3 linked regions of the Xenopus tropicalis genome follow. The protein of the gene in region 3 purifies or fractionates together with the protein of the main gene of each other region. This does not show direct contact. Links are inferred from orthologs where the notes say so. Each region holds a gene or a part of one and is shown on either strand. Other genes may lie near its edges. The genes, in order: dis3l, exosc10 and exosc1.

Region 1 (10,938 bases), on a different chromosome or scaffold from region 3:
AAAATGTGTTGTTGTTATTGATTTAAGATGCAATGTTGAAAGGTATGCATTTTAGGAAATGTAGTTAATAAAAATCTCTATAATGCTTGCTGCTTAAATTGGAGGGCCCTTTGCACACTATTGTGCTGTTATATTGAGAATATACATAAACACATCTGTTATCCCCTTCTGCTGTTCATTTCTGTGGTCTGTTACTAACTGATCATTTTTATTTTCAGAATTCAGCAATGGCCAAGCATTCCACATATTCCTTTAAAAGAGTAAAAAATTATTAATACAGGGTTAGACAAAACAACCAAACCAAACTCAGCTGTAAAAGGAGTATATACACTTATTGCATGGTTATGGCCAATGGTAAAAAATTCTCATATATAGATTTAGCAAAATGGCGCCCATATATGTAGAAAGATTAACTAAGTAAATAAAATGGCTCAGGTTCTCCAACCCCAAAACCCTCCGCTCCAGGGAATGGACAAACTGTTAAACATCAAACAATGAAAACCAGGGGAAGGGCACTCTGGTAATCCAAATAAAGGCCATTCCAATAGTTAAAAGGAAAAAAACTTTATTATATACTTATCTCAAAAAAGCCTCAAGGCCAATGGTACACAGGGCTTTAAAACAGGCAGAAAACAACAGAGGTTAAGATGTCCCAAGCACAAGAGTCCTGCACCGGGCTGGGTACCCGCAGAATACCCGAATACCCTCCAGAATTCCTGGATTCTGCGAAGTGCTCTATCCAAGAGGGGCAGGCAGGTAGAGGCAAGTAGGCATATCCATACCCGCCTCCTAACTTGCATTATTATTCAAAAGCCAGGGCCAGATTTGTGGGCAGGAAACAAAGGCCTGGGCCTAGGGCAGCAAAGATCTGGGGGTGGCACGCCCACTGGCCGCATCTGCACTGTGGACTGGACAGGAGATTTTGATGGCTGTTTAAATCTCCTACCCATTAAATCCCCAGCGCGGAGGTGGTGCGAGCGACAGGTGGGGTATGAGTGTCACGGAAATGTTCTTACCTCCTTATGGCAGTTGATAAGGACAGGACTCCTGAACCTCCTGATGCTGAGCTCTGCTCCTCAGAGAGCAGCTTACCCTTGGACACAAGTGCTTGCTATGTAAGTAGTAAGGGGCATGCTCGGCACCTCTTAGTACTCTAGCATTTGCTCCCAGCATTTTCATGCCTACGAACAGCCACCTTAACTAACCTACCTGTTCCTCTATTGCGGCACTCTGTCCAGGCCCATACTTGTGGCTGCTGTAAGGTGCCATAGACAGTCACTATTGTGCTGGTGGGGGGCTGTTTGGGCCTCTGTGTACTCGAAGTGCCAGGGCTTATTTTTATTTCTAGTCGAGGCTTGCCTCTGTCTACAATTTTCTGCATGTGTAGCACATGCTTAGCTGTTTTTTAATATATCATTGGTACCATTGGTACCGAAGGAGGAGCATCCATCACTGAAAGAAATGATTATTCATTTTTAGTTTGGGACTAAGTGCATTGGTAACATCACTGAAAGGATCACAGCCATTGGCTGCACCACAAAGTATTGTGGCCCAGTCAACAAGTGGTGCCAACGATCAACACTTGCCACAGGCCAACAAAGGCTTGGTGTTTCCTCATTGGAAAGTGGAAGTTGTTTCCCAATGAAAGTGACTGTTGTGTAAAGGACTTTAGTATTCCCATTATTTTGTATACGCTGTAAATTAGGGCTGTCCAACTGGAGGCCCGTGGGCCGTATATGCCCTTTCAAAAGACTTTTATGGCCCCCAGTCTGCTCAAGGACTAATCTGGCCCTTGAATATAGGATGTAATTGGCCTATGACATGTAAAAAGTTGGACAGCACTGCTCTAAAGAACTGATACAGAGTAGAGGCCTGGCTCACAACCATTTACAGTCTACCAATAAACTCCCATGTATGTGTATATGCTGTAACATTTGTAGTTTTTACTACCAACCACTCCCAGCCAACCCAAAAGAGCACCAGCATGGATTCCTTGTGATAATGTCTTCTCTTTGGTATGTCCATTAATCACTTGCTGCTTCTTGGTCGGTGGAAATTAAAGAAACAGTACAGATTTTGGCCACATTTGATTCATATTCTGATATACAATACTGAACAATTACTGCCTTAGGACACAGTCTATGGGTTACTATGGGGTAAACAACAAAAAACTTGCTGTTGGGTACTCTGCTTTCATAAAGAAAACAATTGTATTCGTTCACAAGCAAGTTTAGCCCTAAGACATTAAACCTGGATTCATTGGCTCGGTAAGCATTGTAGGCAGTAAACACAATCAGAATTCTTCTCTTCTAGCTAATGGAATAAAAAAATCCATACTCATCTATTACTGTATATAGTATAACATGTTCAGTGGCAGCACTTGCTCACTGGGAAGGCTATGATTACATTTTGCTGTGGTGCATTCTACAGGATCAGCACCTTTCTGTGGAAAACATAGTCACTCTTGTACAATTACAAATTGGTGCCCCCACCCCCCCAAGGACACGCTTATGGAGGACTGTACACAATGCTCTATTAGTTAAAACATCTTATTCCTTTGCCTTTTGTAATTGCCGGCTTTAATCCTACTCTTAGCATATTGTTACTAGTGATGAGCAGGCTGACCCAAAGCCCACGGGACCTACAAGTTTAACTGCAGGTCGGTGGGTTCGGGCCGACATCCACACAGCTTTCGCGGGTCACGGTCAGGTTCAGGCTGAACTATACCATGCGCCCATACTATGTCCCAATTTCGCCTTGCCACTTCACTATTTATAGATCTTCACCTGCATGTCCCATCCCTTTTCTGACATCAGAGAGGGGCGCATGAGGGGCTATAAATACTGTGACTTACTGGGTTAGGGCTGGGTGCAATAAATAAGGCATGGGGCTGGCCTGCCTGGAGGGGTACTTGGAACAATTAGAGTGAGAATTGGGGACATTGGCCATTTGCTCGCCTAGATACACCCAAATGACCAGCATGAAGCTCAGTTAGGGTGAGATTTGGGTATTTGCTATCCTAGATATTTTTGGAACTCTGGTATTTGGAATATCTGGTGATGTACCAATATTTTCCTATACCTGTAAACTTGTTTTTAGCCTAGATGGTCCTTAGATAAAGATTTTATATTCAAGGGGGTCACTGGCCAAAGGTTTGGTTCTTCAAGTGGGGCTTGAACTGGAAATAAAGTTTACCAGCCACTGAAGAAAGGCCTTTTATTTATAAAAACAAGCCCAAAACAAGGATTTTTTTTTTAACTTTTCTGAAGAAAAAATGCAATTTTATAATATACAGATCCCAACACAGTGTATACCTTATCTCATAGCCAAATATATTCCCCCTAACCCTCATTTGCACTTGTCATCTGCAGGTATTCATTCCTTAAAAGCCCATCACATATTTTTTCAATTCAGCATTGGTTACTGTTCCAGTAAATACTGGCCCAGATTAATACAATAGATCAGTTACATAAGTGTAGCTGTGTGGTCAAACTCATAACAAAGTGTTTTCTCATGAAAACTCCATTGTAGATCAGGGGTGAACCTGAATCTGAGTTATTGCATCAAACTAAACATGGTTCAATAAAGTAAATCAAACAGAAAATTGGCAGAACTGTAACAATCTCTGGCCTTGCAGAATTACAGATATCTTAACCCCCCACTAACTTTCTTTTGTATTCTGTGCATTATATTCTCCTTTTGACACTCACGCACCTAGCAGACATTTTGCATTGATTATAATCAGGTACAAAATCTGCAATATTTTGTACCTGTATCTGCAAACAGGCTTTATAACCCCACTATATTAAGGCAGAAAACAAGAGTGGTGAAGATGACCCATCCACCTGTCCCCAGTATTTCACTTCAGTGATTCTGAATCTTCCAGCACATTTCATTTTTAACTACAGGAAGAGGTGACGTGTTTTCCATCTGAGCCAGCAGCAATCTTAACACCTCATGTAGGTTCGGACTGGGGTGTGAGACATCCACCAGGGCAGCTACCCCAGGAGCCCCCACAATTCCTCAGGGTCCCCTGAGCACCCTCTCACTATCACCCTGCTCATCTATCGCCAGCCCCTTCCCCTGGCGAAGGCACCGGTGAGCAGCAGGTGGGGATTGGGTCTGGGTCGGCGGGGCCCACAGTGTCCCGCCGGCCCAGTCTGACCCTGATCCCATGTGCTATAACAAAACAAAAAATAAGGTACAAGTGTGCCGGAATTGGTGATTCTGGTGAAAAGAGAGCATCTTCAGTTGCAAAGAAGAATACTAATAAACTGTAAAGACAAATTAAAAAAATAAAAGAAATAGAATCGATTCATTTACAATATTTGAAATGTTAATTTAAAGATAACATCCCCTTATGTCTCTGAACAATAAGGTCCACTTCACACACCCTACAAGGAGCTTCCCTCAGGCTGTACCAAAATCTGGTTCCAGTACATACAGTCTGTGCATCAGAGGAGCAATTTAAATACACATAAATGATGGCAAGGTAAATACTGCCCCCTAGTGGCACCTTTTATTTTGATTAACAGGCACAGTTGATAAAGGAAGGCACAAGGGCTCATTACACCTGCAACTGCATTGGGCAAAGTGCAATCACCACTGTTTTCCCATTCTGCAGCATATTTCAGCGTTATTACGCACGCCATGGGACACTGCACCTAATGCAATTGTAGTGGAAGAGTCAAAATGAATGCAGTTGTGCTGGCACTATGTGGCAAATGAGATGTGCGCCTTTCTCCAGGGTAGGGTGGGGGCGGCCTGTTCTTTAGGAGCAAGTTCCATGTGCCCATTGCAGGGTGCCTGGGGAACCACATGGCCTAAAGGTGGTGATAGTTTTAGGGCTGCTCTGTGCCAATTCATAATAGGAGACAGGAAGGACAGTTGAGCCAAGCATACTATACTGAGTGCAAGGGGGCATTTTCATGCAAGTACCTTCAATAAATGGGGTTTTACAAACAATTCACTGTGGGCCCAAAACTGCGCTTGTGGTCGTCAATGACCCTCTAAAATATATTATGGTCATTTGTGGGATAACTCAGCAACAGGTCAAATCCCCCACAGTAAACACAGCCATACGAAATACACGAGCATGCGCAGAGCTTCTTAGTTAGAAGGCGTGGCTCGGGAGCGCAGCTAGAGGGCGTGGCTCGGGAAGCGCGGCTAGAGGGCGTGGCTAGGGATTGTTTGGGGGCGTATTTTCCCGCCTCCCGGCACCAAGCCATCAGCAGGCTGCATTAGCTGTCTCACCGCTGTTTTCCTTTGCGGATGGGTTGGTGTGTAGGCCGCAGTCATGCTGAAGACGGAGAAGATTTTGCACCTGAAAACGAGGGGCCGGTCTGTGAGAGCCGTGCGGGAGCATTACCTGCGGGAGGATGTGCGCTGCGGGAGTGCGCTGTGCCAGACGTGCCCCAGGGGTGAGATAGTCTATACACGCAAAGCTTGCTGGGACTTTCAGCTCTGCCCTTACTGCTCTCACTACTGCTGCTGTGTCTCTGGCAAAGCCTAGTTTAACCCACTTATTACATTATCCCAAACTTTATAAAACAGGAACATGTGCTTGGGATGTATTATTGTTATGGTAAAGAGAGTGGTGACATGTTCTGTGGCAAGGAATGGACTCTTGAATTAATGTGAGCCACCTACCTTGGAAAGGATATATAGTCAGCCAGGATAAGGGGCTTTTGCACCCATAGTAAAGGCGGCAGTCTGCACCCCCAACCCCTACAAATAGAGACAGGGATCTGCTCTGCTGGTGAGCTGATCAAATAGTGTCCTACTGTACAGCAAAGTTACAATTGCAAAACAAAAGAACATTTGCAAAATAAAAGGGAAAGTAAACCCTCAGAATTGGATCCTTTGCTGATCTTTTTCAGAGTTTCTACACTGGATCACCAAATCAAGAGAAAATATAGCTTAGTGCCACAGGCTACAAAAAGGAAATTACAACCAACAGAACCTAGCACAATATCGTTAGCCCTCAATACAAACACCAGGATGTTGTAACACAATTCAGTGTGTGTGGCCAGAACTATAGGAAGTCTATGCACAGATTTTTCTGTTTCTCCAAAAATAAAATGAAATAAAACAAGGTGCCGTAGTGCTTTATTCAGATATAAAACTCTGCATGCGGATTTCCCGCTCTATGGTTGGATTAGCAATTTACAAGTTTCCTGGTATCAAAACAGCATGTTGGTACCAAATTTTTAAATTAGGACAGCACCAATAGTGTAAGTTGCATACATCTCACTTCCGTGCGCACTGTCTGTAGCGTATAATGCAGATTGTGGAGGGCAACCTTTGCAGTACAAGGAGAAGGATTCTGGCCACGTCTTCCTCTCTTGTGCTTTCCACCTGCGCATCCATTCACCGCTGTTACCGGAAGTGACATCACACCTGATGCATTTTGCTAAGGACTCCTTTTTTAGAGGCAGATTTGATTATGTTTCCTGTGTTGCCATGGTTACTATTCAAATAGCAGGTTCACTGAATGTTCTTATAGCCCATCCCCTATAAAGTTCATTTGGGCACCAGGTTAGGCTACAGCCACATAGAGCTGATTTGCGGCCTGTAGATAAACGCAAGCAAAGGATCAGCCCCCTACAGCCTTTCCATGTGCCTGCATCTGTGCATAGACTTTCTATGGAGTGATAACTATATTGCACTAGGTTCTGTTATTTTCTTGTATTTTTCCCTTAGTCTGTTGTGCTGATCTATATTTTTTCTTGATTTAGTGTGCTGTTGTGCCTACTGCCAGGCCCGACTGTCAGTCTTTAGATTCTGGCAAATGCTGAAGGAGCAGCTGTAAGATGACAGAAGAGACAGGTCCTTGCCACAAACTATACGTGTATTTACATCACTGACATCACTGGTCCTTTTAACAGATGGAAAGCTTTTGTCTGAAGATCTGACTCACTATGTGGTCCCCGACTGTCAGATACTTCAAGATTACCTGGAAGTGTTGGAATTCCCAGAGTTGCGGGGCATTATCATCATGCAGACTGCATGCCAATCTGTCCAACATCAACGAGGACGAAGGTAAAATATTAATGTTTTAAAGAAGGTTTACAGGAAAATCAGTATGCTCTACACTAATTCCTAGCATTTGACTAGTACGTGTGAGCTGAAATTGATGAGAAGCCATCTTTAGAGTTTATACTTGTGCACTGACCATACTTTTTCATAAAATGCTTCACTGCTAGTTTACTCCCTTTCTGCAGAAAGCGTATAACATTTTCTGATAAAATGTATTTATTGTCAGTATAAATTAGATCAGAATCCAATAGACTACAAGAGACAGTGCCAGGCTGCACATGCTGAGAAATGGTGGCAGTACCCTGCCAGGCTTCACAACCCAAGAACTGATGGATGGGGGTATCCTGCCAATATACAGAGACTGAGGGATGATGGAGGGGCCGTTCTAATCTGCACTGCCAAGGGATGGTGGTGATGCACTGCAAGCCTCTATAGAGATTGTGGTGGTGCCCTGCCAGGCTGCACTGACTAACAGTTGGTTACCATGCTATGTCTTCATGCACAGGCCGAGAACACTGAGGGGGTAGCTGAAGTACTCTCCAGGCTGCAATGGCTGCGAAGAAGCAGCAGTGTCTTATAAAGTTGCAGTGACCAATGAGTTGGTGATAGAGCCCTGTCAGTCTGCACAGGTCAAGAGGTGGCAGTTGTGCAATGTCATGTTGCAGAGGCTTGTTAGTTAAGTTGCTCTGAAAAAGTATTAATTGAATCTGTGATGGATTCGAAAAAAGAGTAAATGTGTAAAAAAGTAAAAAAAAAAGGGTAATAATAAAAATAAGTAAGCAGAAATGTGATCTTTCCAAGCTGGGCCATTGTGCTCATCCTTCATTTGGTTGGCGCTGGAGCTCAGGGCAGTGATAGAACTGCAGATGAAGCAGGACAGTCCAGCTGCTTAACTGATAGCCTCTTCAAATCAATTAGAAGAAATCAATACTGAAATCAATTGGGAGCCTGAAATAAAGTAGATCTCTCAAATTTAATGTCAGCCCAGGAAAGCAGCCACCTCTGATTTTAATAATAAATGGTCTAGGGGGGTTAAAGTTTCAGTACTTCAGTAAAGATAGTCATGGACTGTAGGCACAGACATGTTCCTTGTAAATGCTGGAAAGTGCAACTAATCATCATTGCCTGGCAGATATCTCTGGCATCTCTAGACATGTGGCACATCTAGACCTGGACACTAGGAAACTCATGTGGATTGTCCCTGTCTAAGAACTGGCTTTCTATCATTACTAAAAACCTCACATGTAAAGCCATCTGTAGCCAGCGATTGTCTTTGCCAATTAATGTGGTCTGGCTAGTTGGCCACAAGGCATGCAATATCTAGCTGGCATTAGAAACATCGTCATGTGCTGCTCAGGCTCTATAAACCTAAAAGGGACATGTTACAGATAAGCTGTGATTGCTGTATATTGTACCATTGCGTGTGAAACATTGCTTATGTGCAATGGCACAATAAATAACGGCATGTTTGTAGAAGGCTGGGCCCCCTTATTTATAGAAACTGGTTGCATTTTGATGTGGCCTTACATCTGGGGGTTGCAGCACTGGACTAAGATAATTGGCACAAAAATGCTGGGAATGCTCCTGCCAAACTGTTTTCATTATGTGCTGCAAGGGAGCTAAGCAGAAGCGACTGAATAGGCTATACACATGGACAGTTTTGGGCCACAAACACAATACACACTTCTGGCTGTAAAATTTGCTGCATCTGCAAATTCTAATGTCAGGACAACTAGTGTCTCTGTGGCAATTGTGTCTTTCAGAAAAATGACCCTGCTGTTTTCCTAATAATTTTTATTCTTAAAGGGGAACTCCACCCAAACACAACTTAAGCTTTTTGAAAAGAAAAAATAATTTTAAGCAACTTAAGCAATATACATCAATGAATGCAGCCTTTTCATAACTTTTAAAATAATAATATGGATTGGAAAAGTTACCTAAGCCTCGCCCTGCTGTTCCCCTGATGATCTGGCTAACTACTTGGGGACTCAAATAAAATTGCAACAATAGTCAACTGTCCTCAGCCTGCATCCTCAAAACCCCACACATCCTGCAATGCATTGTGGGTTATACAATTCCTGCATGCTGCCTGTAAGGCAGGGGGCTCAAACTCAATTTACCTGGGGGCCGCAGGAGGCAAAGTCAGGATGAGGCTGGGCCGCATAAGGGATTTCACAAAAAATTGGCTTTCAAGGGATAATGCAAGGCACGGCGGGAGCTGCCGATTGTGGAAATGACGTTATGCCATCATAACAGTTATTATGGGAAGACGTTCTGTGTGCACAATTAGCTCCTTAGCAGCTAATTGTGCACACAGAATGTCTTCCCATAATAACTGTTATGATGGAATAACGTCATTTCCGCAATCAGCAGCTCCCACCCACCGTGCCTTGCATTATCCCTTGAATCGCAATCCATTCATTGCTTTTGAGAAGGCGTTGGTGCGGGCCACAAAATACTGTACCGAGGGCCGCAAATGGCCCGCGGGCCGCGAGTTTGAGACCCCTGCTGTAAGGTGTGGAGAAGTTGTTATACTTCAGACTGGATTTTATCTAAAGGCATGATAAATGTCCACTTTATCTATCCAACAAATGTGATTTGTGTAATGATTTTGTTAGGATGTGACTATCATGTAATGAGCATCCTGCTTAAGAAATAATGTTCTAGGAAACATTAACCATTAAGTGATTATTAAGCTGCAGAATGAATGGCCATGTAAGTAGTGGTTGGTTATTTTCCTTCCAGTTTTGTTTGTTTTTTCTTTCTAAGATCTTAATTTTATCTGGCCTATTGTTTTTGGCTAAGCTAGGTTTATTGTGCTGTGTTTCAGGCAATACAAGAGGTTGTGTTCTCTGCTCAGAGATACTCGTCATGACTGCATTTTGTTTTCCAATGAGTTCCAGAACCATGCCTATCTTCCTAGAGAAATGGGGGAATCTGCTTTGGCCTGGCAAACAAGGTACTTCAGTTTGTCTGTAACGCTGCCACCTTATAGAATCAAAGCCTGACCTAACTGCACCATTCTTAATGGGATGGTTGATGTTTGAATGTCCTTGCAATTGGTCTTCATGATTTATTCTTTGTAGTTTTTTAATTATTTGCCTTCCTCTTCCCCTCCAGCCCAAATGGGGGTCACTAACTCTAGCAGCCAAAAACGATTGCTCTGTGAGGCTACAATTGTATTGTTATTATAACCTTTTATAACTTATTATTCTATTTCAGATTATCTTCTATGCTTATTTCAATCTCTTATTCAAACCACTGTCTAGTTGCTAGGGAAAATAAGACCCTAGTAACCAGATAGCCACTGAAGTACTTAACTGGAGAGCTGCTGATCAAAAGACTAAATAACTGAAAAATCATAAAAAATAAAAGATGAAGACCAGTTACAAACTGTCTCAGAATATCACTATCTACATCATACTAAAAGTTAATTTAAAGGTGAACAACCTCTTTAATGCTATTACTTAGGTGCATCTACAATTCTTGTGTATGGTACTATCAACACTGTCAGAAGAAAATCCCTGTTGTGATGGTCACAGAAGATAAGTCTGTCATAAGGCAGTACAACACCGAGACCCAAGAGGTGTACGTGGTCTCATTCCAGGTCAGTGTGAGGGATTTTGTATTAATCCAAAAGGCAGGAAGAAGTGCTAAGGGACAAACTGAGAACATGTTTGCTATCAAAATAAAAATTCTAACAGCTTTCCCCGCAAATTTGTCTCTCTTTAAATAATATATAAAAACATTTTATATAAAATAATAATAGTCGGGTATATGTCACAAGGAATAGAAAAATCATCCCAAGCTAAAGAATTGCGCTTGGATAAATAATGCATTTTATAGTACAATATTATATACAACAGTGCTGTCTAACTGAAGGCCTGGAAGCCAAGTACA
Region 2 (10,400 bases), about 32 Mb from region 3:
ATTGCTTCCTGTAACAGTATGTTAGATTTGTGATATGTTGAGTCAGTTTGCCTATGCCACTGCAAGGGAGAAACCGATTACCTTTCAATTTATGCAACTGGAGTGCACAAGCACCCACTGAATTGGTCCAATAGGAAAAAAGTAAGGGCGAAGCCTGGACGTGATGATGTGATGTAAGCATACAGGAAGATCTCCGTGTGTCAGGTTCTAAATAGGCCACTCCCATCCTTCCAGAAAACTGATCATTTATGAAAAATAACATTTTCTTCGCATGCTATTTATAATTTTGCCATAAAAGTAGTAGCCTAATATTTTTCCATTACCTGATCCCCCATGTTCTTCTATGAGGGGGCTGCCATTGCTGAATCTGGCTGTACTGGCATGGCGTACCTTAAATACCTGTAGCCAGGCTTATAACTAACCTCTTCCTGAAGTTCTACATGCTCATTGTGCAAACATCACTCACTGTTATGTGCTTTTTCATGCCCCAATAAATGAATAGCAACAGAGCAATGACTTTTTAATATAAATCTGTTTCAGCCATGTATCTGCTAAAGGAAAACTATACCCCCAAACAATGTAGGTCTCTATAAAATATATTGTTTTAACAAGCTTACACACAGCTTCATCTAAATAAACCATTTTCATAAAAATATACTTTAGCAGTATGTGCTGTTGGGTATTCCTAAATAGAAAATTGCCATTTTAAGAATGAAGGGGCCACCTCCTGGGATCATAGGATTCACACAAACATGCTAGGTCACATTAGCCAATTAATGGACACACATACATGCTAGGTCACATTAGCCAATTAATGGACAGAATCTGCCCTTTTATTCCACACTTCCACCTGTTACAGTTAAAGCTACATTATTTCTGGTCATGTGATCTCAGAGGGAACACACAGCCCATATATATAAACTTCCAAGTAAATGCCGGCACTCACGTATAGATAAGTTGCTGTTGCCTGGGTGCAGGTCCAAATAATGTTGAAGGTGCTTGAGAGAGGGTCAGCACTCACAGGACTTATACAAACAAATTATTTTATTAAAGAGGAGACTAACGTTTCGGCTAGCACTCTAGCCTTTTGAAAAAGGCTAGAGTGCTAGCCGAAACGTTAGTCTCCTCTTTAATAAAATAATTTGTTTGTATAAGTCCTGTGAGTGCTGACCCTCTCTCAAGCACATATATATATATATATATATATATTCCAGTTTGGCGAGATTCTTGAATAGGTTCACATAGTTGTCCATAATATCAAGCTTACAATAGTCTGGTTTCCAATGAGGCATGTTCGATTGGTGTTACCTGGTCTCCCAATAAGACACAAAATCAGTGTAGACACCTTTAAAACAGTAGATGGTTTGAGCATGACGCGCAGTTGCTTAATTTAATAACATACCTTTAGAAGCGGGGTCTCACGCGCCTGATGAATAAGAAGAGATAATTCATTGATTTGTTGTCGCACAAGTGGAGGCACTGGACTGCAGCAAGCAATGATTCCTTGTGGCTCCCTAAAATAGAACATACAAAAATTCTTAAAAAAAAAAAAAAAAAAACATTCATAGGGTGTATATTGTTGGTGTTGGTCAGTATAGCACAAAAAGAAAAAAAAAAAAAGGGCTATTTGGCAATACAATTTTCTGAAGTTTAAAATGTTGTAGCTTTAGAATTAAAACTGTTGAATATTAAAGATACTTTAAGAAAATCAATGATGCACTCACTTGGGCAGTTCCTCAGTTATCTTCAGCAACATGTGATTTGGTAACACATAACTGCAATATTAAAAATAAATGTATTATTGTTAAACACTTAAAAAGACATGTTTTAGTATAATTCAACAGCCTTGACACAGACATCATATAAACACATATATCTCCTTACCCTGTGCTCTCATCTTCCTGTCGAGCTATTTTATCTCTCCATGCAAAAAGGAGCCTGAAGGCAGTCAACTGCTGCGTGTTAAGGTGTTTCTTTTGCTTTTGGTATAGCTCTAGATATGAATCCTCTGTAAAGATTGACTTTGTGAATTTCTGTAGGAAATACACTGTGTCAGGATATTCTCTATATATGCATTTGTAAAGTTACATTTAGGAAAAAGTCTTACCTTCAGACAAATGTCCCTGCTTTTCTGCCATACCAATTGGAGAAGGTTCTGCTGCTTGTTGGCTGCACCTAGTAGAGCTGTTCGCATTTTGTCATATATGAAAAGCAAATAGTGTGTATCTGCTCTAGCATACTCAATCATTTCTTCAGGTAAGGGGCTGAAATTGTATACAAATGTTTCAATTTATGTACAGGTAATACTTTATTGGTTTAAAGTTTGTAAATTATTTATGCTGGAACTCACCGAATTCTCCAATCAGCAAGCTGATATCGCTTGTCTGACTCCACATTGCAATACAACCTGAGGAGGTGATCAAGTGAGTGTCGACCAAGATTAAGAATACGTGCTGCTTGATGAGTGTCAAACATGTTTACTATGTATAAGCCAAAATCCTTCTGAAGCCACTCTATATCTGAATCAGCTCCATGAAGCACCTAAAACAAAATTGCAACAAGGAATAATAAGGCACCATTAATCGGGTCCCTGAGGTGTAAAGGGAAAATAACATTTTACAGACCTTGATAATAGAGGGATTTGTGAAGCTCTCATTTAAAATGTACATGTTGCTCCTTAATTCCAGCACATCAATAATATAATCCTCCGTCCGAGTGCTAATCTGCATCAAGCATGTAAGACCTAGGAAGCTTCTGTAGGAATGATGCTTTCAAGAAAGAAAGATTGGTTATTTATATAAAAAAAAAAAAAGTTCTGCACACAGCTTGCTACATAAACATCCCTAAAAAAAAAACAAATCACTTACTTCTAAATCCACTGCAAACTCTGCACACTGTAGCAGTTTCTCGTTCAGTGCCACTAAGTCTTCCAGCTTCATCACAAACTTACATGGGACATCTTGCAGGGAGAGGACGGGCTGTTGACAAAACAGATCTTTTAGAATTATTAAAATCAAATTCCTCATTACTTACACAAATTAAAAGGCTGCCCTTTTTGTGGTCTCACCTGAATATCTGGCTTCTCCATTGACGATTCCAAGGGTACAAAGTGATCCAATTCATACTGATAGGGATGACAGAACCTTTAAAAAGGAAAGCATGGTAATGTAGTAACTAAAACACAATGGAAGGTACACTCCCTGGCCTTTTCCTTGTCAGCATATACAGCCAGGAAATGGAGACAGTACCACAGTTTTGCAAGTGGGATGCTCCAAACTTTATTAAAAAAAAAGAACACCAAACTTTGAGGACTTATTCAACCCTTTTCTAAATTTGTTTCTTCAGATAAGGCTGAATATGTTGGGAAGTGTTTTATACACGTGAGTATTCTCATGGACATTTAATAAAGCATCCCATTTGCAAATCTCAGATACTGTCTCCACTTTGTTATTGTGCACTGTAACTGAATACAGGCTACACTTAATTGCTTCATAGATAGCAACAAAGAAAACCATTACCAGACTTACCAGTGTCTTCCCTTACAGGGGACTCTAAAATGATTTATTTGGTAAGTATGCTGCATAGCTGTTAGCAAAAAGAGATCAGAGATGACCCCAGTATTTACAAATGCCTGGGTCAAGCAGTTGAAACTCAAGATGGCAATTTTAAACAGGAATAATCTTAGCACAAATGTTCCCACTAATTCTTCTGGACTATGTGAGCACATTTTAAACTTGTGTGGGCATTTTAAAAAATGGTGTGCTCAGGTCGGAATAGATACAAAATTTGGTGTTTTCACACAAAATTTCTTTGTGGGCACCAAAATTTGCTGTGTGCACAGGACTAAATGTGTGTGTGCACAAGCACACAGCTTAGAGGGAACATTGCTCAGTAGTCTTTGTGTACCTGAGTTGGTTGCTGAGTATTATCTGTAAATTTAGCCCTTCTGGAACCACTAGACCTCAGGCCACTTACAGTATCAACAAACATCTACTTGTAAAATTTTTAGCATATAATCTGGCCCCCCATAATGTGCTGTGTTGGCTCTTCCCACTACATGGAAAACTTGGACAGCACGTAGCAAACAGTATTTTCTGTTCACCAGAACAGTTTGCTACATTTTAGGTTGTGTGATATAAAATAACCTACAAAATTACTATTGCGTGCATGTGCAGTAAAGTAAAATTCAAAACTTAAATTTTAAAGTTAGGATTTTTACTCTACTGTGCATGCAAGCTGTCTCGAATATCAAAGAGAATAGCAGCAAAATCTGCAGAGAAGGCGGCGCATTTGCAAAGGATAGTACCTTGGCCGTTGCACTTTTCAGCAAACAGGAGCACTGGCCTGCGGCCAAAGGCAATTGATTATATGCAGTAGGGCTGCCCAACACATCAGAACCCACTTGCCTTGACATTTACGCACAAATACCCCATAATAAATGTCATAATAAAAATAGCTCTATAAGTTATACAGTGAAGCCTCAAATTTACATACACATATTAAGTTTTCCTGCATTTTAAATATTTTTAAATATTTTTAAATATTTTTTGTAGCCAAACTAACATATAAGCCATAATGCATTTCCCTGATATTTTTTCCTGGATTTTACATTATTTTTTTCCTTGTTCCCTGAAAACTGTAAAAAGGGGGATTCTGCTGTAGATAGTTTATTAGGCACTTTTTGCCAACTATTGCTAGAAACATTTTTAGACAGACACAAAAAACCCTGCATTATACTTACATATCCTCTTCGCTTATCTTCATTCTTTGCTGATGAATAAAATCTGCCAAAGCAGGAGGAACATCCAGATCCTCTTGTCTCTGCTGCCTTTCTAGTCTATTCCTGAGAACTGATAAGTTAGATGGAATTTTTTCATTAAGCTTCCAGATGAGAACAATCAGAAATATAATTAAAGTATATCCAAATGTGGGAGACTCTAAATACATTGGTAAAACTTTAAATGAAAAAAGTTACACAACTTAAATAGCGCTTTTAAATAATTGGGTCTTTTAATGCTAACATATTCTGCAGCAATGTACATAAGGATACAAAACTGACAGACAAACGGATAACAGTAGGTAATATGGGCCCTGCCCACAAGGTCATAAAATAAGTGACACACAAGGTATAAAATATGTAGTCAAATTGGGCAGTTTATGTTGGGGAAATATTATCACTGTTAGTAATGAGATAAAAGGATAATATGATGTGTGTGAGTTATTACAGGCTAATAGGTTAGAGTGTAAACTTCACAACAGAGGTACTTATTAAGGAAATATTTGTAACTCTACTGGGTATTGGACTTTTTATGTTTTGTAATGAACTCCACAGGTAGGGAATTGCTTTGATGAAGTCCAATAGGTGTGTATGTATTTATAAGAATGAAGTGGTCAGTTTGGTGTGTATCTGAAGGCTTAAAATGTAAGGATGGGAAGAAGGAGAACTATGAAGGTATGGAAGAGGAGATTAAATCTGTAAGAAATTGCAAATGTAAATGCAGATCAAGTTGTGAAAAGGTTTCAGTTCGACATATATTTGCTAATAAAAGCTAGTTTATTATTATTAGGGCTCATTTATGTAAAAATTAATTTTAGATTCATGAAAGATCAAAATACTCTCAACAGTAGCAATAGGGGCCATAACTCACCTTCTGGAAGAGGCTTTTGTGCATTGGGCTTCACAAAGAGTTTTGAAACAAAAGGAGTGTTGGAATTGTCTATCTTTTCTTTAAACTTAAGTTGGGGGCGCAAAATGTTCTTAGCATGAAGCAGTCGAAAAGTTTCAGATTTTCCTTTTTTGCTTAAATCACTAGTCTGCAAAATAAATAAATATATAACACACATAATACAAGTTGGGTTATTTATTTTCTGGCAACAATCTGCAGCACTGACCAACACAGAGGTCAGTTCCTGTGGAGCATACAGTCGAAGAACTCTGTCACATTCACACACAGTAGGGACAATTTTACCAGAAGTCTAATAAACCTGCCTGCATGTTTCTGGAGTGTGGCAGAAAACTCCTGCAGAAACACCAACATGGCTTGAAGACTACCGCAATGAGGTTTGGGCTCCATGGGATATTTATAAAAAAATCAAACAATGTACCTACTTATCAAATCCAATATGCTTTTATTTAGTACAAGGATGAAGGTCCTTTCAACTTTTTGTCAAACAAGTATTAAAGGTTGCTGTCAGGTCTATATCTCTGTATATTCATCTGTATGGTTAAAACAAAGCACATTTTAAGAATATCAACTTCTTACCTTCCTATTCCAGCTGGAAACAATTGTCTTTGGAGGCTGAAGGCCAGCAGGGAGGATGGGTTGCTGATTCCGATTCAGTCCAGATGCTTCATCAAGTAAAATGCCCTTAAAAATATGTAATATGTTTATTTAGGCCAAAATTATGTTTTAAATATACCTCAGCAATAACAAAAGTTTTGGTGCACCTCACTCTATGAACTATGTTACTTTAAAGGCCACCATACTTACAGTGGTGTGAAAAACTATTTGCCCCCTTCCTGATTTCTTATTCTTTTGCATGTTTGTCACACAAAATGTTTCTGATCATCAAACACATTTAACTATTAGTCAAAGATAACACAAGTAAACACAAAATGCAGTTTTTAAATGAGGGTTTTTATTATTTAGGGAGAAAAAAAATCCAAACCTACATGGCCCTGTGTGAAAAAGTAATTGCCCCCTGAACCTAATAACTGGTTGGGCCACCCTTAGCAGCAATAACTGCAATCAAGCGTTTGCGATAACTTGCAACGAGTCCTTTACAGTGCTCTGGAGGAATTTTGGCCCACTCATCTTTGCAGAATTGTTGTAATTCAGCTTTATTTGAGGGTTTTCTAGCATGAACCGCCTTTTTAAGGTCATGCCACAACATCTCAATAGGATTCAGGTCAGGACTTTGACTAGGCCACTCCAAAGTCTTCATTTTGTTTTTCTTCAGCCATTCAGAGGTGGATTTGCTGGTGTGTTTTGGGTCATTGTCCTGCTGCAGCACCCAAGATCGCTTCAGCTTGAGTTGACGAACAGATGGCCGGACATTCTCCTTCAGGATTTTTTGGTAGACAGTAGAATTCATGGTTCCATCTATCACAGCAAGCCTTCCAGGTCCTGAAGCAGCAAAACAACCCCAGACCATCACACTACCACCACCATATTTTACTGTTGGTATGATGTTCTTTTTCTGAAATGCTGTGTTACTTTTACGCCAGATGTAACGGGACACGCACCTTCCAAAAAGTTCAACTTTTGTCTCGTCGGTCCACAAGGTATTTTCCCAAAAGTCTTGGCAATCATTGAGATGTTTTTTAGCAAAATTGAGACGAGCCATAATGTTCTTTTTGCTTAAAAGTGGTTTGCGCCTTGGAAATCTGCCATGCAGGCCGTTTTTGCCCAGTCTCTTTCTTATGGTGGAGTCGTGAACACTGACCTTAATTGAGGCAAGTGAGGCCTGCAGTTCTTTAGATGTTGTCCTGGGGTCTTTTGTGGCCTCTCGGATGAGTTGTCTCTGCGCTCTTGGGGTAATTTTGGTCGGCCGGCCACTCCTGGGAAGGTTTACCACTGTTCCATGTTTTTGCCATTTGTGGATAATGGCTCTCACTGTGGTTTGCTGGAGTCCCAAAGCTTTAGAAATGGCTTTATAACCTTTACCAGACTGATAGATCTCAATTACTTTTGTTCTCATTTGTTCCTGAATTTCTTTGGATCTTGGCATGATGTCTAGCTTTTGAGGTGCTTTTGGTCTACTTCTCTGTGTCAGGTAGCTCCTATTTAAGTGATTTCTTGATTGAAACAGGTGTGGCAGTAATCAGGCCTGGGGGTGACTACAGAAATTGATATTGAAATTGAAATTGATAAACCACAGTTAAGTTATTTTTTAACAAGGGGGCAATTACTTTTTCACATAGGGCCATGTAGATTTGGAGTTTTTTTTCTCCCTTAATAACGTGAACCTTCATTTAAAAACTGCATTTTGTGTTCAATTATGTTATCTTTGACTAATAGTTAACGGTTTTTGATGAGCAGAAACATTTAAGTGTGACAAACATGCAAAAGAATAAGAAATCAGAAAGGGGGCAAATAGTTTTTCACACCACTGTATATACATCTATACCTATATATCCATCCTTATATTTTAATGCTAATATTTTAAGTGCCCACACTCAAGGTTGGGGGTTACTGCACACATATGCAGTAACCCTATATTGAAGGTTCTCCCTGTAAAATCATACATGTGTGGACGGAAGTGACGCAAAAGTGACAAGTGTTCCCTATTGGGCTGCGCTGGGTGCCACATGTGCAAGCAAACTGTAAGAGCAAAGCGATCAGAAGCTGATAGAGGAATCTGCCTGCAAATGTAATGTCTCCTGCACATCTCTTTAATTAAAAAAACAAAAAAATTGGAACAGGTGAAAGGGGGAAATAAAAATATAAACTTGAAAAAGTATGAAGCAGGATAAAGAAAACAGAAGATAATAGTACAGTGCATGTCATGATGCTCTGGAGGCTGCATCTGTCATGAAATACTGGAATCCGCGCAGCGGGGTAGGCTATGCCTGTTGAGAATTGTTGAGGGTGGTGCTGTGCCTGTCACGAATTCTGGGAAATGACAGAATGTGCAGGTCTTGGTATGTCCTGCCACCCCACCCTTTATCCAAGTAGTTATTTTTATGAGCAATTTTTTGCCTGGAGAACGTGACAAAGTTTGTGAATTGCTGGTTAATGAGTTTCCAATTAACAGTACCAATGTAAATAGTCTGCCAGCTCTGCACTAAATAAGGGGCTTCCATAGCCACCCCCACCCATAGTCCTCTGTTTCAGATTAGCCTATGCTTTCCATGTATTCTATTCACAACGTCATAATGTGATGTGGTAATGGCAGAGTCTGTTAATGCCTTCAAGAGGGGCTTGGATGAGTTCTTGAGTGTTTGAACAAGCACAGTATCCAAGGCTATTGTGATACTAATATGTACAGTTAGTATTAATGGTTGCATACATAGTTTATGTATGTGATAGTATAGATTGGTAAGTATAGGTTGTGTGTGCTGGGTTTACTTGGAAGGGTTGAACTTTGATGGTCTTTTTTCAACCCTATGTAACTATAATTCACAGCTGAGGCTGGCGCCACCATCTGCACCACTACCTAATGGGCACTATGTTTATTGAATTGATATAAATATGTATAAATTAACAGACTTTTTTTGAAAGCTTCATTTTTTTTTCTCAAGCATATAAAGGAAAAGGAAAAAAACTAAGTAAGCTTTATCAGAAAGGTCTACGTAAATACAGCCATAAGCACTCACAGAAACACTGCACTAAGACCTCTATGGAAAAAAAAAACAAACAAAAAAAAAAAACCCACAGGATTTCTTTTTAAAAAAAACCAACATGTTGTTTGGTATCTGACTTCCTCTTTCAGAAAAACCCTTAATTCCAGGGGCAAGAGTCTTCCCAGTTCTCTCCTCTTTCCTGCTCCCCCCTTCCATAAGAATTCATAGAACTCACTCTCCCCACCCTTAGGAATGTGTGATCTGAGCTACCAACAGCTATACTGCAAACATGAAGCTACTTAAAATAGCAGCTGCTATCTTAAACAAACAGAGAAAGTTTCTAAGGTGCTTTACTCCGGTATGGTAATGCTTTCTGCAGAATAAATATATTGTTCTAGGTGGCACTAAATGTGGTGAATCTATTGGCAGTAAAATGCCAAAATTACTTTTTCTCCTTTAAAACAGAAACATGTATGACTTATTAGCAAGTAAAAAGTAGACTAAAACAATGCACATGACAATGCAAACATGTATTGAAGATAAGAGTACAAGTATGCAAGACATTGGATTATGGCTTAAGAGTACAGTAACACCAAAAGATGTAAGTATTTTAAAGTAATTAAAATATAATTTACTGTTGCCCTGTATTTACGGTTACCATTGTATTCTACAAGGTTTATTTTGCGGTTATATAACCTGTGCCTTTTGTCCTTTTGAATGGCTGCCCCCATGGTTACACATCACGGTTTTTACATAAATTGTAGTAGTGTTTCTGAAGCAAACACACAATTTCTACCAGTGCAGGGCAGCAGTACATTATGGTTTAATTTCTTTAATATATTTTGATGTTTTGCTGTTCCTTTAAGCCAATACTGATTAGGCTATAGAGAGCAGCATAATGTGACGTTTTGCCTTTTTATCATTACGAGAGTTGTTACAGGAGGAAGGAAAGATGATCTCCGTTTTAACGTGAAAAGAGGACACCACTTTGGGGAGAAATCCCGGCACTGCCAAAGGACTGCTCTGCCTTCCTGAAATATCAGAAAGGGCGATGAACTTGATAGGGTTCAAACGGTGGTTCCAGGTGGGGGACAGGTTACCAATAAGGTGGAGC
Region 3 (11,009 bases):
GGGATGGCCAGGAAATCTTGGTAAGTATGAGACAAAATTTTGGTAAGTATAAATTAATTTCTTCTTTTCCTGGCCATCCCCTGGCAACATTTGGGTTCGTACCCAAGCAATCTAACTGGGTGGGAACAAACAAAAACTTGTTTGCTAACATCAAAATAAATGTATTTCTGCCAAGACACTGCCTTCAGCACTGAATACCCAAACTGATAAAGAAAGAGAGCTAACTTAAATCTAACGTAATGACAAATGAAAGTATTAGAGGTTTCCCATGTAGCTGCGCTCAGGCTGAGCTTCCGCTGCCCAGGATGATGTAATACCCCTTGTCGAATGGGCCCTGATTTTCTGAGGCACCGGCTCCCCCTGCTCTTTGTAAGCTTTCTGGATTCCCAAGACAACCCTTCTTCTTAAAGTCGCTCTTTTAGTTGGTTCTCCTTTCCTTGCTCCACTGTGATGACAACCTTAAAGGCTAAGTCACTTGGGGGTGCTAAAATGTTAAGCACCCCCAAGTGACTTTAATCGCTTACCTCGTACCCCGGGCTGGTGCCCGTTAGGAGAAAACAGCACCAGCCCGGGGTACCTGGAGCAATGCGCTTCCTCCTTCCGCCTTTGTTTCGCTAAGACTAACACAATAGGCGCATGCACAGTAGAGTTAAAAGCCGACTTCTCTGTTAAAGTTCCACTATTCACTCTACTGCGCATGCGCGCAAAGCAGGAAGCGCTGCAGCTACCCTGGGCTGGTGCTGTTTTCTCTGAACAGGGGCACCAGCCCGGGGTAAAAAGTATGCGATTAAAGTCACTTGGGGGTGCCTAACATTTTGGCACCCCCAAGTGACTTTGCCTTTCCTTCTCCTTTAAAGGCTCTTAAATTAACCTCTTCTCTAGCATGGCTGACAACATCAACAACTGTACTAGCTATGTGCTCAAACTAAGGCCTTTATCCAAGCCTTCCTGCAGAAATTCAGGCATACCTAGGATTGTCGGTTCCAGGCATCTATCTCATTTTTGGAAGCCCAGTCTCTAAATATGTTGAACACCGCATACTATCTCTGAGATGACTTTCTAGATCTCAACAGAGTAGTTATAACAGCCTCAGAACAACCTAGCTGTGCTAACCTTCCCCTCTCAGCCTCAATCCTGATGAATCTGGATGCCACAGACCCTAGTTGAGAATCTATCCATTGCAGAGTAGCCGCCACTTGGTTTTTGTGTTCCTCCAGAACTTCCCTGCTTCTGGCAAGTAGCAAAAGGTCATCTAGATACTGATATTTTTCTACACCCATTTCTCTGAGCATTGCAATAACAACTACTAACCACCTTCATGAATGTCCTGGGGGACGTGGATAACCCGAAAGGTAGGCATGTAAATTGCAGATGCTGGTGACCTATAGCAAACCTGAGGAATTGTTGATGTCCTTGGGCTAACGGTACATTCAAATACACATCCTTCAGGTAAATGGTACACAGGCAGTCCCTGGGTCATATGGCTGCTTTAACAATTTGGATTGTTTCTGTTTTGAAGCTTTGTATGTACAGCTGCAAGGTCTAATATAGGTCTCATCTCGCCCAATAACTTTCTTATTAGAAAAAGAAAAACCCTTCACCTTCTTCTCCTTGCAGCACATGCACTGCTGTCCCTTTGGAAAGTAAGTCTAAGATGTACTGCAGCATTACAATCTAGTCTGACAAGGAAACTGACCAGGGAGTGTTGGCAAACGTACAAGAGAGATTTTTGGCGAAACTCTAATCGTTACTTCTTGCAACTGCACAAACTCAGGCATCCTGTTTATCCTCTGTCCAAACCTAGAACTGGAGGAGTCTTGCCACAACTCTGGGAAGCTGGGCATCTGAATGCGGCTCATAAGTGAAAAAAAAAAGTGTGGGGATCCCTGGTATTTTTGGAGCCAGCAAAATACATTCCCTAATACATTGTTCACATGCATTCTGTCTCTTTTACTCTTACTACAAGAGCTTCACAAGATATACCGTTACAATCTCACTGACCAAAATAGTGGTTCTGTGAATAAATGACAAAAAAAATACATTTTATTCTCATAGAGGAAAATGTACAAAATACAAATAAAACTATTTTAAGAGAAAAAAAAACACATATCTGATCAATTAAACTTTTGGAGCAAAGAAATACTGTTAAAAAGACTGATGCCCATGAGGGGATTAGTCGCCCACAGTTAAATATCAACTACCGCAGGCAACTAATCTCCGTAAAATGACAGTAGCAATGACTTCAGAAAACTGAAGCTACATGTATGCCTTTCCATCGGCGATTTACTTTATTGTCAGTGGAGAGGCATTAGCCTAAATGAAGGGAACCGAGTTACATTTTTGTTGGCTTGTCTTAATTTTAACCACCAAAATTATGGAGGCAACAAGGCACTCAAGGTTGCAAGCACAAACAAATATAAAATCATTGTTTGCCATAATACAAATTAAGATAATTCAGAACTGCCTGGCTACCGAGTGGTTAGATACAACTACAAGGAGCTTAAATGCCTGTGCCACATGTTGTTCTCTATGTCTGCAGAAACTCTGGCTGCACCCGTGCAACTTTCCTCTGTTCTTTAATGTGCGTCTTTGGACACTGCATCTCACACCAGCTGATTGGCACCATAGTAGCTCCTGGGACAAAAACAAGCAGATGCTGATTAGTATGCAAATAGTGTGTTCATAACATATCCACACACATCTGAGTAGTCATTATGGAGGAACAGATATAGTGAGAGTGTGCCAAAGTTTGGAGATCCCTGGAACATACTGCCATTCAAGGCCCAAAAAAAGAAAGTGCTGAAGGGCACAGTAAGAGGAAACTGATGGTCACCCTTTCAGTGATCATCAACAACATCAACACAACATACTTACCTGCTTCACTATGAGCAACTACAACACCCAGCTCATTCTCTGCTGTGCTTAATAGATAATTAGACTGGATGTCACCCAAAGATATCTTATGCAAAAGATCAGGAGATAAAACTTTTTTAAAAAAAGAAATCAATTCAATACTCAAAATATACTGCAGGCAACACCAATTGGTAAACTACACCTCTGAACAATATACACTATATGGCCAAAAGTATCCGGGCACCTGCTATAACTCGGCTACTCTTTCTGAAAGGCTTTTCAATAGAAGCTGGAACATTGTTGGGTGGGATTATGGAACAATAACAGCCCTATGCACAAAGTTAGGTCCCTGCAGAATGGGTTTGCCGAGATAGGAGAGGAAGAACTTGAATGGGCTGCACCGAGTCCTGACCTCAACCAGACAGAACAACTGTGGGACAAACTGGACTGCAAGCCAGATCCAATCCCCAACATCAGTGCCCAACCTTGCTAATGCTCTTGTGGCTCAATGGAAGCAAATCCCACCAATAATGTTCTCGAAACTAGTGATTTTTTTTGAAGAGAGGCAGGTGTTTGGGTAGTTTTGGGAATATAGTGCAGCAGAATTTCAAAAGACAAATCATAATGATAATAATGGCATGAACAGATGTAAAAGTTAAGAATAAATCAAATAGTATATTTATTATGTTTGCGAAGAAGATAATATGTGAATACCTGGTAAATACTAATTACAGGCAATATATGTTTAATTGATTTGAACAGCTAAAAGGATACCACTTTGGCCATTACGATATCTCCTGGACGGAAGCTTTTATAGACTTCAACCTTTAAAGACAGAATATATTAAAAATATAGAAGGCCATGCACCTTTGATTTGTGATATTTTCTTTAAATCGCTGAAATATTACACCTATTTGGAATAAGAGCATTTGGGATTAAGGGAGAAGGAAAGAGGGGTGCTTAATATTTAGGCACCCCCAGTGATCAGTCTGGGGTACTTTCTGTGAGAGCACCGCATCCCAATCATCTTCATTCTTCAGTGGCCCCAAGTTGGGGCGTGCGCAGTAGAGAGGAAAAGCTGGCATTTTTCACACTGCTGTGCATGCATATCCACCGTGAAGAAGGAAGAACCAGCAAACTGTTCTCTGGGCCAGTGTAGTTTTTTGCTAACAGGAGCACAATCTGGGGTATGCAGTAAGTGATTACAATCTCGGAGAGGGTGCCTAACATTTTTTTTTTTTACTCACAAAAACAAACAAGCGGGTCCAGTTACCTTGTCTTTTTCTGTAGCACGAATGTCTTCTTTCCTAGAAGCCAAAAAGCAACTATTTATACATAAGGCAATAATGTTAGATGCCCAGCTCTGGCTCTTAATCATATAATTTCTAAAAACACTGTGTAACACCTTAAAATGTACTTTTAAGCAATTCATACACAGGCAAACAGATTCAATAGCTTTTTTTGGATTTTTAATTTATTCTTAAATTTTTTGTTCTGCTGCTCTGAGGGTTGGAATTTAAATTCTCACTGCCAGGGGTTAATTATCCTAAAAACCAATGCGCAATCTTTACATGAAAGATGAAGAACAGCGGGCCCTGAAAAGAAATATAACCACTATCCATAACTGTCAAGCCCTGCAGTAAATATTTTGTTTTGCTGCTGGGGTCAGTGTCCTCAAATCCCCAGCCCGCATTTTCAGCTGCATGTATAAAGGAATCCATCTCCTGGTTCTCGTGACTTTTACTAATCTTCTGCAATACACAAGCCCAATCTTGCTTTATGGCATAAAAATTAAATTGCAAAAGGGGTTATGCGATTTTTTTTGAGCAAATGTCAGAACACATCTTCAACACCCAGAAATGCCAGTACATGGGCTCCCTCTATACTGCAGAAGGTTTACTTTAAATAAGAAGGGTCTAGCCTCAGAGTAAATCCTTTACCTGATTGTGCCTCGAAATGTGTTACTCAGTGGAGTTGAACCAATATACATAATTTGGACCTTTGCAAACCTGGAGTTAATGCTTGTTACCTAATTATGAATGGAAATAAAGACTAAATTAGAAACTCCATAATAATAAATGAAGTTTATTATAAGAATGAAAAATTAAAAAGTAAATGAAAAAAAGTTCACATTTCAAATTGACAAATACTGTGTTATAAAACATAGTGGAGCTTAAAAAAATAAATACCAGTTACAGATTGCCTCAAAGTATTGGTTCATTTAAAGTGAATATTACAATCTATAAAAGCTGATGTACAGATGGCACTCTCTTAGTTTTCCCACAATCATTATCATCTCCTTCCAAAGTGCTCCTTTTAAGCTTGTAAGTACCTCGTATCTCACAATAACCCATCATTTGGCTGGGACATGTTAATGTCATTGAGCCCTTTACACAGCTCCTTACCAGTCCTCTTGTACCTAAGCCAGCTTTTATGCTGAAAGGTCACCAAAAAGAGGATTTTTGCCTGATCATAAAAACTATATACATGGGTGGGATCAATGTTGGCTTCTACTCCTACTAACTGCTTTGTATAGCTGAGAAACAAATGACTGCCCTAAACCCAGCCCCCCCCCCCCCCCCCCCAAAAAAAAAAAAAAAAGATACATTTTACCACCTGTTATAACACAACACCACTACAGAATTCTACTTTGGTGTGCAAAATACATTCTTACCTTACAAGTGACAACAGAGCCAACATCTGGCAGAAGATGTGAATCAGTCTCTCTTACCACAGAAATAACTGGCATCTAGAAACCAAAAAAGTGCAGGTAAGGAAATAAAAATTTTAAATAAAAACTATATTATACTGGGGACAGTCTGCACAGGAGCAGCAAATTATTGTACTTTCAGAAATAGTTTAAAGATGAGCTTCAACATTACTTCAGGGCTGCATGTATGGGTGGGATCAATAGTATTGTCTAGGTGGCAAGACCCAACTGCCTGCTGGCACATATTCAACAATGTAAGACTGAGCTGGCTGCAAACTCCCAGTGACTGCTTTGTATAGTTGGGAAACAAATGACTGCCCTAAAATCCTCCCGAAAACATAAATGTTACCACTCGTGTATCGTATCTCAGCTATGTATAATAACAACCTACTACAGAAAACTACTTACCAAGCCATTGTCAGTTTTCTTCACTATGTAACCTGCCAGGGAGGCAAAAATATAGCCATGTCTGCAGAAAGTTCCATATCCAGGGGCACAGTCTTCAGTGCTGCACAGCCTTTCACCTGCAGAGGTTAAAAGAAAGATAACACAATAATACAACTCTGCACAGGGTATATAAAAAACAACCAACTTTTAAAAGTAAAAATAATATATTACTTCAGAGATTAGAACTTGAACTCAGAATTCCCAGAATGAAGCCTGACAGGAGAGCTGAAATTATATATATATATAGATTGTAAGCTCTACGGGGCAGGGACCTCCATCCTCTTGTGTCTTTGACTCTTAACTTATTGCAACTGTAACTGTATCTTGTATTTATTTGTATTTATTGTTATACTTTGTATTCATCTATTATCTTATTAACCCCCTGTTTGTATTAATCTATTCTACTGTACAGCGCTGCGTACATAAGTAGCGCTTTATAAATAAAGATATACATACATTTACTACAACACGAGCAGGAGAAATGTTTCCACAATTTCTTTTTACGGCATCCCTACTGTTATTACATCTCAGTCACTAACCCACAGCACTCCTACCCAACCCAGTCCTTCCTTACCAGGCACCGACACTAACTAAACACTGTGCCCTGCTTCACTCACCCGGCACACAGCACCTTACAGGAGCCATGATAAACACGTGATAACCAATACTGGGCAATGAAGGCTCCGATTGGGTACATCCCGGTTAGTGACGTAACATATCCTGCCATTGGCTCTTCAGCCGTCGCAGCGTGATGACGTACCACGTAGCAATTGTACAATTTGAGGCTGGAGTTCTGGCAGCCTTTACTTTATCTTAAAAAAACAGTGTTATGTTAGTATTAGTCTGTGTTCTAGAAATCGATTTTCATTTCTAAAAAAATATGGTTTTACATATCACAACCTGGCCAGATATGTGTTCCTATAGCAACAGAATGTCATTTACACTGCTTTTCCTGTGACTGTAATAGTTATTAGAAAACGTTCTCTTCACTATGACGTTGCATGGAAACCATAGCGAGGCAGGCTCTCTCAGCGTGAGGCTTCTGTACAGTGGTGCTTCCATCGAAAATCGATAGGTATATATATTTTCCTTAATAACGCAGAAAGAATACCGGACGAGGGGGTTACGGAATAAGACGCTATTCTTGGGATGTACGTTTCTCCCTTTTTGACCTCGTAACCTATAGGGGATAATCAGAACTTACAAAATGGTGTAATTATTCTCAGGGACAGGAGGCACACAGACAGCAATAAGCTCTTGCCTCGTACACCTACTGTAAGAAGAAAATATTTGAATATTTGAGATATATATATATATATACATGTGTGTATATACACCTTGCTTTATAATTGAACTTTTATCTTCTGTCAGTAACTAGGCCAGTAACTAACAACACTGCCAAGATGAATAATTCCTAGCCCTAATATACTTATTTAAAATTGACACAATTCACTAGTTTCCAACACAGTTGTCACCTGGGCATACAGTAAAATGCTTTTTAATTGTGTACCATTCATAGGGTCTAATAAACTAGTGGCAAGGGGGTTGTGCAGTTACTGTGTGGCCAGCGCAGATACAGTGCTGTACTGCCCCTTATGCACTAAAGCAGGTGCCACTGGAAAATAAGCATACAGCATGGGCATAGGCAGGCACAAGTACACATTGCATATAGCATTTAACAGCATCTTTTGTTAGTGCCTAGAAATTGTAATTGAGACCTTTACATAGTAGATGTGGTTGAAAAAGGACACACCCTTCAAGTTCAACGTTTTCTCTAAGAGAAACACCACTAATATCTAGTTAATCTGGAGCAATACAGATATCAGAAGGCATCTCCCATAAGCCTTAAAGGGAGTGAAGTAATTACTCCAACAATCCCTGGATCAACTTTTTGCTAAGAATTAAAAAAGTTTATTAACATATACCAACTCTTCTGGAACTAAGGAAAATGCTTGACAGAAAAGGGTATAAGGATACTATTGTTTAATAAACAGTGGCAGTCTCCAGCAGGAAGGGCAGGCACGGTATTGGCCTTTATTATTGTGAGTAAGCCATAGAGGTGCAAGGAAGCCCCTGTACTTTACACTCTCCTTTGCACTGTTCATTTAATGTATTTTATGAACAAAAACTATAGCACACACACATACCTTTACTTCCTTTCCAGAATGTCACAAGTGCAAATTGTGCAAGAATTACCATAGTTTGCACCTAGAGGTTGAAGAAGTCACCTTTTTTGGCTTCGGCAGTGTTAGGAAATGAGGTCTGTTTTTGACAAGAACCTATTTTTTTATTTTTAGCTACAAAACACGCCTGCCCTATTTTATTTGTATGCTGTATATGCTTCGGCATCTATTGTTACAACAGAAACTCTCCCGAGTGTTATTTGAGGATTTTTTTTTCAACTTGAGATTTTCATACAAAAAAGAGGAAAAGGAAAGAAAGGGAGACAATAAGAGACAGGAGAGAGGTAAGTATCGGAGAGATCATGGTGGAGTGGGGGTATATAGTCCAAGATCATTCGCTACTAAACCTGGGTGAATCTTTTCCTGACGTTATCCTGTGGTGGTGGAGTTAGGTGTTTGTTGGTTGACTGCCGGGTGCATTTTCTAGCTTTATGTGGCTGCTGTTAGTTTTTGAGAAATTTGGTTTTCCATGCTTGGTGGGAAAGTATTTCTCTGTTGCGTGTTTTTCGTACGTAAGGTTAGAGTCTGTGAGGTTGATCAGTTTTTCCTTAGTTGGTATGGTTTTCCATTGTCGTGGTATTAATAGCCTGGCCAAAATGATAATGGGGTAGGTAAGTTTCCTTAGGTTTGGAGGTATATTTTGTAGTCGATGGTTAAGTAGTGCTAGTGAGGCAGTTAGTGGGATTAGTATATTTGTTGTTTCATACAATAGTAGTGAGACATCTGCACAGAAGGGGGCAAGTGCTGGGCATTCCCACCACATGTGGATTAGTGTTCCTGTTGTTTTGTTGCACCTCCAGCAGGTGGACGAGGTGTTTGGATATATCTGATTGAGGGTGTTTTGTACCCTCTGAATAGAATTTTTCTTTGGTTCTCTATGTGGTTAGTAAATTTGAAATATTTGTAAGCTGCGTTAGCCACTTGAAGCCAATGGGCTGTTGTAAACGTTGTGTTAAGATCGCTTTCCCATTTTAGGATAGGTGCTGGCTTTATTTGAGGATAATTTCAATACTTTCAGCTTGGCTGTTTTTAAAAAGTAGAGTAGATTAATGCTACTAAATATCACATAGGGTGAAACAACAGCACATATGCTGGGGTACCTGCAGTATTCCCAGTTGTATTATGTGAGCATTATTAGTGCCAAAAGCATGACAAGAAAATGTAAAGCCTTGTCCTGAAGATTACACATCCAGTGATTCAAGATGTTTCACTATACCTAGAATTAACTGATTTCTTTACATATTGTTGACATTTCCTTCCATCAGTGTCTCTCCCATGAATAAATAAATGAGAAGTTCAGGGCCTAGGACGGAATGGTAATACAACTGTATACAGATGATTCATTATGTGTCAGTGCCTTCCAGACTGTGATAGAAATGAGCTTATTTGAGCTTCACATGAATGCAAGAGCTCACACTAATAGGCTTATTTATCAGTTTGAGAATTCAAAATTGTTTTTCTAATTCAAATAAACTAACATTTTTAATGTATGCTTATTTATTAATAAGGAAATGAAAAAACTTCAATCTCTAGAATTTGTGCAATTACAAAAAAAAAAAAAGAATTTGAAAATCTCAAATTGAAAATATGGCTCGACTTTGCCTAGGACAACTCCGATCACATTCCCCACAAGCATCTGTGCCAGGCCCAAGGTTCTGTTCTCTGCAGCTGGGATCAGCTTTAATGTATTTTTGGCAGTGCCCACCTACCTTCTCTGCAATACCTCCTTAAAGAACAGAATAGTCCATCCATGGGGAAGAAGGCATCGCTGGCCACCACGCCAAACTGACATTCTATGTGAAATATTTGGATGGCATAAGAGCTAACTAATGTAGTGCATTATGAGATTTATGTACAGTACAGGTCCTTCTGGCTGCTACAGAGGCATAGCTTAAGGGCCATTGTTTTGCCCACATACCAGTTAAAAGAAAGAGGCACAGCAGTGTGAGCAGTAATAAACACTGTTTGTACTGAGCAGATCCTATGAACTCTATTAGCCAATATTAGATATATATTTACCTATATTATAGCAGTTGGTTACTTCATAGACTCAACTACTGTTATAAAAAATAAACCACAACAACACAATGTTTCATTGCACATCACTCCTTTATTGTAATGATCCTGAAAAAGGTACCTCTATCAGGAAAACACAGCTACAGTAAACATGGTAGCACTGAATGGGCAGAGACCACTGATGCCATCTAGAAAGGCCAGTAGGGGTGGGACACAGAAAGGACCAGTGCTCTCTGATGAGTTGCATTTACTAGTATAGCATAATTTATATATATATATATATATATATATTATATATATATATATATATATATATATATATATTTATTTTATATACATACATATATTTACTATATAGTATTTACCATACTAGGAGCAACCTAAATGTGGTCAGCAACCATTGATTTCAGCAGATTAATCTCATTATAACAGTTTCATTTTATGGACAAATTACAACAAACAGTTTGCACATTAGCCAGAACGGACAATATTTTGGACCCAAATACATTGGTTCATAGGGCGTACGCTTGATCCTCAAACCAGTGATCTGAGTTAATAGTAATCTCTCAGTTAATATTACACCCACTGGAATTTGACCTAACTTGTCCTTGAAGTCCCAGATACATCATATAACATACGGTATTAGCCTACAGTGTCAAATCAATAAAAATATTAAATTATAACCTAATTATAAGTACAGTTTCTCTTGAAAAAATACAAAACCAAAAAGGTGCACTAGTGAAAAGTAAATAAATAACCGTTAAGTGCTTGGTCACAATCTAATTATATGAATTATTAAC

Evidence for each region.
Region 1: the proteins of exosc1 (region 3) and dis3l purify together in Homo sapiens (affinity purification with mass spectrometry; 4 studies listed by BioGRID and IntAct, counting the BioPlex papers as one, with this or other methods). This does not show direct contact. The link is inferred for Xenopus tropicalis from reciprocal best matches to the Homo sapiens genes EXOSC1 and DIS3L.
Region 2: the proteins of exosc1 (region 3) and exosc10 purify together in Homo sapiens (co-immunoprecipitation; 8 studies listed by BioGRID and IntAct, counting the BioPlex papers as one, with this or other methods). This does not show direct contact. The link is inferred for Xenopus tropicalis from reciprocal best matches to the Homo sapiens genes EXOSC1 and EXOSC10.

The regions. Positions count from the first base shown.
Region 1 is NC_030679.2:117,106,267-117,117,204, forward strand, and holds the start of dis3l (DIS3-like exonuclease 1), read left to right. Parts: upstream 1-5,151; 5' UTR 5,152-5,420; intron 5,421-6,887; 5' UTR 6,888-6,997; coding exon 6,998-7,041; intron 7,042-9,868; coding exon 9,869-9,997; intron 9,998-10,509; coding exon 10,510-10,645; intron 10,646-10,938. UniProt on the Homo sapiens protein: Catalytic component of the RNA exosome complex which has 3'->5' exoribonuclease activity and participates in a multitude of cellular RNA processing and degradation events.
Region 2 is NC_030683.2:64,883,221-64,893,620, forward strand, and holds part of exosc10 (exosome component 10), read right to left. Parts: intron 6,369-10,400; coding exon 6,264-6,368; intron 5,815-6,263; coding exon 5,649-5,814; intron 4,851-5,648; coding exon 4,742-4,850; intron 3,144-4,741; coding exon 3,068-3,143; intron 2,979-3,067; coding exon 2,868-2,978; intron 2,769-2,867; coding exon 2,625-2,768; intron 2,542-2,624; coding exon 2,351-2,541; intron 2,265-2,350; coding exon 2,108-2,264; intron 2,034-2,107; coding exon 1,885-2,033; intron 1,776-1,884; coding exon 1,725-1,775; intron 1,515-1,724; coding exon 1,403-1,514; intron 1-1,402. UniProt on the Homo sapiens protein: Catalytic component of the RNA exosome complex which has 3'->5' exoribonuclease activity and participates in a multitude of cellular RNA processing and degradation events.
Region 3 is NC_030683.2:32,982,200-32,993,208, reverse strand, and holds exosc1 (exosome complex component CSL4), read right to left. Parts: upstream 6,673-11,009; 5' UTR 6,656-6,672; coding exon 6,628-6,655; intron 6,088-6,627; coding exon 5,972-6,087; intron 5,603-5,971; coding exon 5,528-5,602; intron 4,883-5,527; coding exon 4,794-4,882; intron 4,161-4,793; coding exon 4,127-4,160; intron 3,679-4,126; coding exon 3,628-3,678; intron 2,960-3,627; coding exon 2,875-2,959; intron 2,635-2,874; coding exon 2,528-2,634; coding exon of another isoform or gene 2,455-2,527; 3' UTR 2,026-2,454; downstream 1-2,025. UniProt on the Homo sapiens protein: Non-catalytic component of the RNA exosome complex which has 3'->5' exoribonuclease activity and participates in a multitude of cellular RNA processing and degradation events.